Linked DNA regions of Arabidopsis thaliana. The protein of the gene in region 1 interacts with the protein of each later gene in a pairwise test. Each region holds a gene or a part of one and is shown on either strand. Other genes may lie near its edges.

Region 1 (3,899 bases):
ACATAATATTTCTTTTTTTAAAAAAAATTATGTAACCACACCATGTGTATTGGTGTGTGCATGTGTCTACCTACGGTCTACTTCGGATTTGAATTTGATACACGCTTATAATTTATTATTCTTCTGGATATTGCATCTAATCTATAGATTTAATGTACAAATCTCCACGCTTGAAATCCATGAGTCTGACTGAGTACATTCTTGCATAGTTAATTATTGCAGGCATGAGACTTAGTCGGTGTAAAAGTCCAAAACGCCATTATGAGCGAAACTGAAGAAAGATGACTAGATTAAGTCTTTTTTGTATATAAGGATTTTGTCATCTACCAAATAGAAAGATACAGTAAATACTAAATAGGCATACAAAATATAATTGACAAAGTGATTGGCTCGTGTTTAGTTAAGAAGCTTGAAACCAAATTTCCGAAGGATGTAGGGATTCTAGGGTTTGGAACATCCTAGGTTAAAGTCTGGATTGCCTTCTGGAAATTGTAGGTAGCTCTAGTATTAGTTTATTAATGCTATTGATTTTTACTTTTTTATAAAAGTAACCGGAAGATCTCATGGCAAGAGAAAAAGACAGACCCAAATCGATTGTTTCTTGGATATCACTAAAGCTTATTAAAAAGGTTTTTTTGGTAATGTCATAATTTTGAGTGTGGCGAGACAACATTTCTACTCTAAGTCTGTATCATTAAAACTGAGGAAGTGACACTCACTTGAGACAAGTAGATTACATATCTTTCTTAATACATAAGCAACTAAAATTACTGTACATAGAGATGATATTTATACTACATACATGGAATATTTTTATAAAAAAACAAGATTCCATAATGGTTAACTTTCACAAAACTTTGTTTGTTTGTTGTTTGATTCGATTTATATTAGAATTTGATGCTTTTTTGATATAGATATAAAAAGATATTTAGGCTATGTTATGGACAACGACGGCTAAAGATTCTTGACGACGAAACATCCTCTGTTTTGCTATGAAAGCTTCTATCGTTTTCTGAAACTCTTCGTTGCTCAGATCATCCTCTGGATAGTTCTTCTCCTCCTCAGAGTCATCATCGTTCTCAGTTTCTTTGCAGAACTTCTCTGTCTCCGATCTCTGAAGAGAACGTTTCATCATCATCATCACCATGTTTGAACTCTGTTTTCCAGACACGTCTGATTTGCTTCTTCCATAGACCTTACTATGGGGACTCGAATCTGAGTCAATCTCGACGTGAGGCATATTCTCATCCACCGTTAGATTCGGATTTGAATCCAAATCAGTAACGATCACCTGTTTGTCGTCGTAGACAATCCCCTCCGTCAAATCTTCATCGGACGGTTTGGAACGATTCTCTACAGATCTGACGAACGCCTGGTAGATTTCGGTTTCTGCGCTTGCGACGGCGGTGGTTGTCTGATCGGAAGACTTGGTGAGAAGAACAACGACGATGGAGTTCCCGAGGAGGAAAACGAACAGAGGAGTAGATATGACGGCGGCGATACGGCGGAGAAACGCTCCGGAGATTTGAACGACGAAAGGAAGTTGCGAAAATGTCCAAAAGATGAAGAGTAGAGCGACGCAAACCTCCGCCGCACGGAAGAAACGGCCAATTCTACAGAAGCGGTTGAAACGCCGCAACGCCTTGGCTTTCTCTGCTTTCACGTTATCGAAATCAAACGAATCCATTGCGATTTGCGAGTGCAAGAACAGAGAGAAAGAGAAAGATTGAGAAAAGAAGAAGAAGAAAAAGTGGAGCAAGCTTCGTCTCTCGCATCTATCTTTTATAGACACACTCCACTCCTAAACCAGACTCACTTTTTTTTTTTTTTTCCTTCAAATAATTGAACTTTTTCTTTTATTTATGGTTAATATATCTAAGTTAGATATACATATTCCATTTATTATTCCTCATGTAGACACCACTTGTGCCCCTGCTATATTATATATTATATCCATTTCAATATTCCAAAATAAATTCAAAATTAGCAGTAATTTACTAATTTTTGTAAAGTTTAGTGTAATTTTTTTATGTAATCAAATCAATAGAATAAAATTCAAAAAAGTCAATTAAATTTTGCAAGGGTATAGTAGCATATCATTTTTTAAACTTTGTGTAAAAAGTATCAAAACCATTTTTACCAAAACAAAGTAGCATGAACCATACTTGTATACAAATGGAGTATAGCTGAACAATACTCTTCTATAATTTAAGGAAACAAATTTGATATAGTTTGTTGTTTGTTTGGGTCAATTTTGTCAGTGAGCTCATTATATATTTATTTGGGTGATACCTTAATACCAGTTTAGTAGTTTTTATCCAGATTTAGATAGACGAGTAATTGCTAATCAAACATTGCATAAGCGAATGAGTACTCCATTTCAAACAGAATCTGTAGACTTTGTTTGCTATAGAAATTTAAAGTTAGACTGATTCACAAGTTTCAACAACTCGTTATTATTATACAGCTGTTTTATCAAATAAATAAAATTGTAAAAAAAAAAACCAAAAATATTTGGACCGAGCAAAATTGTAAAAAAAAAGTGATGTAACAGAGAATCAATTTTTATTTATATTTTTGTTCTTTCACGTGAGACGTATGGGATCCGTATAACCACCGCTCTTCGAGTGTACCACTTCGTATTTGCTTAACTCTCTCTGTTTCATTCTCGTGCATTTCACCGTTTATATTTTCTTACTTTTTCTTACTGTAATTAATGCAAACTCTTTTTATCCAATTAACCGAAACTATAAGCCTATATCTTAATATTTGACATCCCTAATTTATTTTTCATAACAATAATGATAAATGAGCGGGTGGAAATTATGGTTTATTAACAACATACACTCTAATTATAATTCTCGACAAAGAAACAATATTAACTACTTAATTATAAGATGTATTCAATGAGGAGTAATATGGGTCGGTGTCTTGGTGGGTGTGGGTCATCAGACATTTGACTGGATCGGAGAAAAACACAAAAATTAGAGTTCAACGCGACGTTACAACTATGAAACTTAATTGAGAAATTGACAAAAACAAAACTGGAGTTATAAAACCTGACCCTTATATTATTATAACATGAAACAGATTAAGTTTTTTTTTTATATATATTTTTGATTTCTTCTTATGATTGTTGTAACGTGAATAGATAAGTTATAATAAAAATGTGAATAAATTAAGATTTCTTTTATGATTGTTGAAATGAATGGCAAGTGAGACACTCACACTACTTGTTGACTCTCTCATTCATTCCCTTTTCGACTAAATAACGATATCTCGGCCGGACTGATTATATATATAAAGTAAATAAAAATTATTGAATCCAACCAAAAAATAAATAAATTATTGAATGGACAATAGTTTTCTTATAAAGATACTCGTGGCCAAAAGATCATGACAAAGAATTTCGAATGGTGTTAATTAGTACTAGTAGTCAATTCGACAAAGTTATAAGAAAAAGAGGGTTAATTAATCGATAATACAGGCTGGTTCGACCCATGCATAACATATCATATTTCCTCTGCTTCCTTTATAAATTGTTCTCTTTAAAACTATGCGCATGTAATACCATTCTTAAGCATCATTCTTATATCCGCAGACGCATACCTGCACGCATGCGTAGATTTGTACGTATTAGTATCAATTAAAAGTTATGACCATAAATATCTTGGTATTCAATTTATGTATACACTAATAACTTGGTAAAAGTGTTGTACTAGATATGATAGGAGGAGACTAGAAGGAAGTAGGGCTGAAGATTGTTTCCTTGTTGGGGTCCTGGTTCAATACTTTGACCACTGTAAAAGCTATACGTTGTCAGTGATAAGAAAATCATCATGAATTTCAGGACTATCTGGTTCGACACGACACCGTATTAACCCCTTTTTCACTTTCAA
Region 2 (4,712 bases), on another chromosome or scaffold:
AAACAAAAACAAGAACAAAAGAGAAAAAGCCGAACAACGTGCCGTTTTTGGGGTCCATTGGAAGACAAAAAACAACAACGTGTTCTCCGCCTACAACACAAAAACATGTGTTTGTAATTCACGTGTTGTTTTTACGTTCTTTCTTTGACCATTGTCTTCTTCCTCTTTTCACAAACTCAATCTTTTGTTTTATTTTTCTTATCCTTTTATCGGCTTATCCATGTCGGTAATCATTATCACCGCACATATTTGTTTTTGCTTGTTTCTTATATGTACATAAAATGTATATGTTCAATTTAATTTGCACATCATTTCACTCTTGTTAATATGTAATTCATCGAAAATTATGGTTCTTAATCCATGTCAACATTGTCACAATTAACAACATTGTTAGGATATATATGTCAACCACAGCCAAAATTCTAAGTGGTTTGTATTGGTCTCAATGTCTAACCAGACTGAATGTGAAAAACACGAAAATGAATAGATTTAACGAGATTTTAACTAGTAGACAAAATAAAAACATATCTTACGTTTGCATGAAAACAGATTGAGAATTTGAGATCCAAGACCAAAACTAATTAAACTACACATGTGAACAAATAATATATTTTGGGCTATTCGGGTTTGTGTCCGGCCCAATGGTTTATGTTAGCCTGTCAAACTTGAGGACTTTGTTTGTTTTTCTCCTTTTTCCTAAGAAAACTCTCTTTATGGTTGAACTTGTTTTCTCGATCAACTTCTCTTGTACCTTCGTTCCACTTTAAAACAATATTGGCCGTGTGACTCTTTGACCAGGATCACTTGTCATGTCGATTTCTTTCACGTTGCATCTCAATATGAACTTCATGTATGTTGGAGTTGTGAATTGAAATTCATCAAAACAAGGAATCTTTGATTCAGATTGAGTCAATCTCTTCCAAGCACTGTGTTGGTATTGTACTGTAGAGAAATTTGCAGGATCTTGAAACATATGACAAGATATATAACGAACCGATTATTAGATTAATTTCGGCCAATGCTCGAATCATACAAGTAATCATAAGCCACAATGAGTTTAGCTTTGTTCACTAAGTTAGAAAGAATAAATAAATGAATGGATCAAGTTAAACAAAAGAACTAAATCATATAAAACCTCCAAATTTCTAACGTTTATCATATATCTAAAATCTTCTAAGATGCCTCTCTTTTCTATATGAACTGGCGTAAAGGGATCAACATCACACTGATATCATCAGACGAGCCTCGTGAAGCAGATAAATCGACAAGCTTCTTACAGGCAGCTAACAACAATGGCTTCTCGGTTCCTAAGCAGAGAGGACGAGCAATGTCTACTGCTTCTTGGTTACTCACTTTATCCCATAAACCATCAGATGCCAAGATCAAAAACTCATGGTCATGCTCGATTCTCGAAATCTTTGTCTCTGGTTCAGCTATAACCCATTTCTTAAGTTGAGCATCTCCAATTCCTCTTGACACAGCTAAAGATCCCTGGATTCTCCAAACACCGTGAAACGTATCAACATATCCTCCCGTGGTTTCAATTCTTTTCCGTTCATCGTCTCTAGACGGGCGGTGATCAGAAGATAAAGCCTTAGCTACACCTCCTACACTCATAACAGCACGACAGTCACCGGCGTTAGACACAACAAGGTTCCCTTCGTTAACCAGAGCCGTGACACAGCATGAACCACCCTTAACGTCTTCCTCCTTAAGAAACGACGCGTCTGTTGCCAAGTAACCATGTTTCACCGCTTCAGCTATCTCAGACTCGTCTCTCTTACCAACTACTTCTTCTACAATGTTCTTATCTAAGTTCTTAGCTGCAAACTCAGCCGCTTTAACTCCTCCATGACCATCATAGACTCCGAAAATCGCCTGAGAAATTATCACAAAGCAAAACAACGTTTAGAATACACGATTCATCAATAAGCACACAATTGTTTCATATGATTCTGTAAAACTTCTAATTCTATTCAGAATTTCAATTTTCCCCAAAGAACCCTAATTTTAGATAGCTTATTAACCCAATCAATGTAGATCTCACATGATAAACCCTAATTTGAGCTGTAATTGCTAATCAATCGAATCAAAATCACCAATTCAATTCAATTCTAAACCAAAACTGAAAAATGAATTTGAAATTTAAAATTACCTGTTTACGATCTCCATGAAGATTGGTGATAGCAGAGAAACGATCCTCCATAGCTTCTCTTCTTCCTCTCTTACAATAAACAGAATAACCATCACCTTCTCTCTCAACCTCTCTACACTCCTCTCTCGGCGTCGCAGCCACAGCGGCCGATGAAGAAATCGGAGCTACAAATCCAGCAACACCAATCGGTATATCAAGCCTTGTAGGTCGTTTCCTCTTTAAAACACCTCCCGGAGGAGAGGATGCAGAAACAGATTCAGATCCAAAAGATAATGGACCAGGAGCGAATCCGGACGGAGGTTTCTGGAAACGGAGACGAAATGGAGATTTAGGAGAAGAAACGGTGGTGGATGGAGAGGAAGGAGAAGAGGTCTGAGGTTTGCGATGAGAAAGCGTTAGAGAAAGAGATTCTTGCGGTGACGAGAGAATCGAAGATTTGTTGCAGAATAGAGAAGACGACGGTGAAAACACCGGAGAATTACATACGGCGACGGAGCAAGACATCGTTTCTATATTTTGATTTCGATTTCGATGAGTAGAGATTTGTTTTTGCTGAGATTATTGTTTTTGTTTCTTCTCCTTCTGTTTTTTTTTTGTTGTGACGATGTACAGAGAGAGAAGAAGAAGGTTTTTAAATATAAAGGAAAGAAGAAGGTAATGAATATTGAATGAATTAGAGTCCGTGTTTATCGAGCTTTATTCAAAGTTTTTCAGTCTCTTTGACTTTGTAAATAACATTTATGCCCTTACAACTTTCATTTCCTTTATTTATGTTGTCCTTTTACTTTCTACAAAATGGATATTATTTTGAGGAAAACAAAATTAGCTTGAATCCTACTCTTGTTGACCAGTTTTTTTTTGTTGGCAAAATAAAGGAAAATATCATTTTTTCTTAATAATGAAAAATGTATATATCCATGAGATTTTTTATTCCAATATTTTTTCATAACCAAAATAAGAATCATTCAATTTTTGGTAACTTTATGTCAATTTAATAATAAAAACAAATTATGTCTAGTAGACTAGAACTATCATAAACAAAAAGAGGAGTATTGCAAATAAGAAGAAAGGCCCTTTGTAACGTAGAATAAAATTCAATAAAACACAGCAGATAGTACAAAAGAGAATGTTGGAGGGTAAAACGGTCATTCACAGTCTAAAATAGCTAAAACGATGAAGTAAGCGATTTATTGGGTTTGCTCTGTGAGGTTAAAACAGACATTTCAAATGAAGTCAAAAACACGTCTAAAAGGAAACGAATGCTAATAATTGGGCATGTGGGTAACGTATCTGTGTTAAAGAAGTGTTTCATTGATGACTCACTTTTTTTTTCTTCTCCTTTTTAAATTAAATGAAAAATAGAATCTTAAAGAATTTAAAACGACCGTTAGGTTCTATACGTCGTCGTTTTCATTGGATGAGTATTTTTGCTTGTCGTAGTCGCAGCTTCTAAGCAAGTGACCGTTGAGAGCCTGAAGAGGAGCCTTCGTTTTGTTTGTTTCCATTTGATGACCGTTGTGAATTTGTCAAAAAGTCTAATACATAAAGTTGTAATTGATCTCGTTTCACACGAGGTCTTCTTATTATTAAAATACAAGTCTTCTTCTTATTAAGAGAGTGTTAATTTTTTGAGTAATTTGTGACATCATTAACTGATAGTTTTGTCTTTTAAACGGTATTTGATATTCTAGAGTTGAAAAGGAATTGCAATGTTCTAGAGTTGAAGAAAAATCCATTAGAAAGTTTTTGTTAATGTTGTGAATTGTGATAGGGATGAATAGTAAACAAAGAAAAATCAGTTTTTGCAATATTATAAGACCAAAATTTCCTTATTAATAAGTATTTGCATATGATAAGACCAAAAATTTTACGTCTTATTATATTGTCATGCGATTAATGTTCCACTATTAAGCACTTTTAGAGAATGTTTTTCCGTTTGAGGCAGTTTATAGGAAATAGACACTTTTTCTATTAATTCTTTTTTTTTAAAGACTTTTTTACCCTCAATTCAATATTTATGTTTTTAATTCTTAATTTCTCTTTTTTGTTATTCCTCTTCCACGATCCTTACCCAAAATAAATAAAATCTCTCTCTCTCTCTCTCCATGATTTGTAGCGCCTCTCTCTCTCTCTCTCCACGTCTCCATAACTTTTGGAGAAGTTTCTTAAACAATTTGATCTCGATTATCTCAGGAATTTGGTAAAAGTTCTATGTCCATAAGGTATTGGAGGTGGGGTCTCTGCAAATTGTAAGAAAAATCAACAAACAATTTTTTGGTGTCCATAATAACGAGTCCATTTAAATATATCCATTCAGAAAACCTTTTACTGATTCATATTCATTCTATATACCATGTCCATATAACAGGAGATTCGATTAACCGTGGTTTGTAAAGAAACCAAAGTTCCATGTCCATAAGGTCTTGGAAGTGGAGGTCTCTTCAAACTGAAAGAAAAATCAACAAACAATGTTTTGGTGTCCATAATAACGAATCCATTTAAATATATCCATTCAAAAACCTTTCTACTTATCTATATTCATTCTATATACCATGTC

What was found.
Region 2: the proteins of AT5G66440 (region 1) and AT2G30020 interact in a protein complementation assay, tested with the Arabidopsis thaliana proteins (one large-scale study listed by BioGRID).

The regions. Positions count from the first base shown.
Region 1 is NC_003076.8:26,529,346-26,533,244, forward strand, and holds AT5G66440 (tRNA-methyltransferase non-catalytic subunit trm6MTase subunit), read right to left. Parts: upstream 1,832-3,899; 5' UTR 1,688-1,831; coding exon 929-1,687; 3' UTR 574-928; downstream 1-573.
Region 2 is NC_003071.7:12,812,384-12,817,095, reverse strand, and holds AT2G30020 (Protein phosphatase 2C family protein), read right to left. Parts: upstream 2,826-4,712; 5' UTR 2,660-2,825; coding exon 2,156-2,659; intron 1,879-2,155; coding exon 1,192-1,878; 3' UTR 736-1,191; downstream 1-735. UniProt on the Arabidopsis thaliana protein: Protein phosphatase that negatively regulates defense respones. Inactivates MPK4 and MPK6 MAP kinases involved in stress and defense signaling.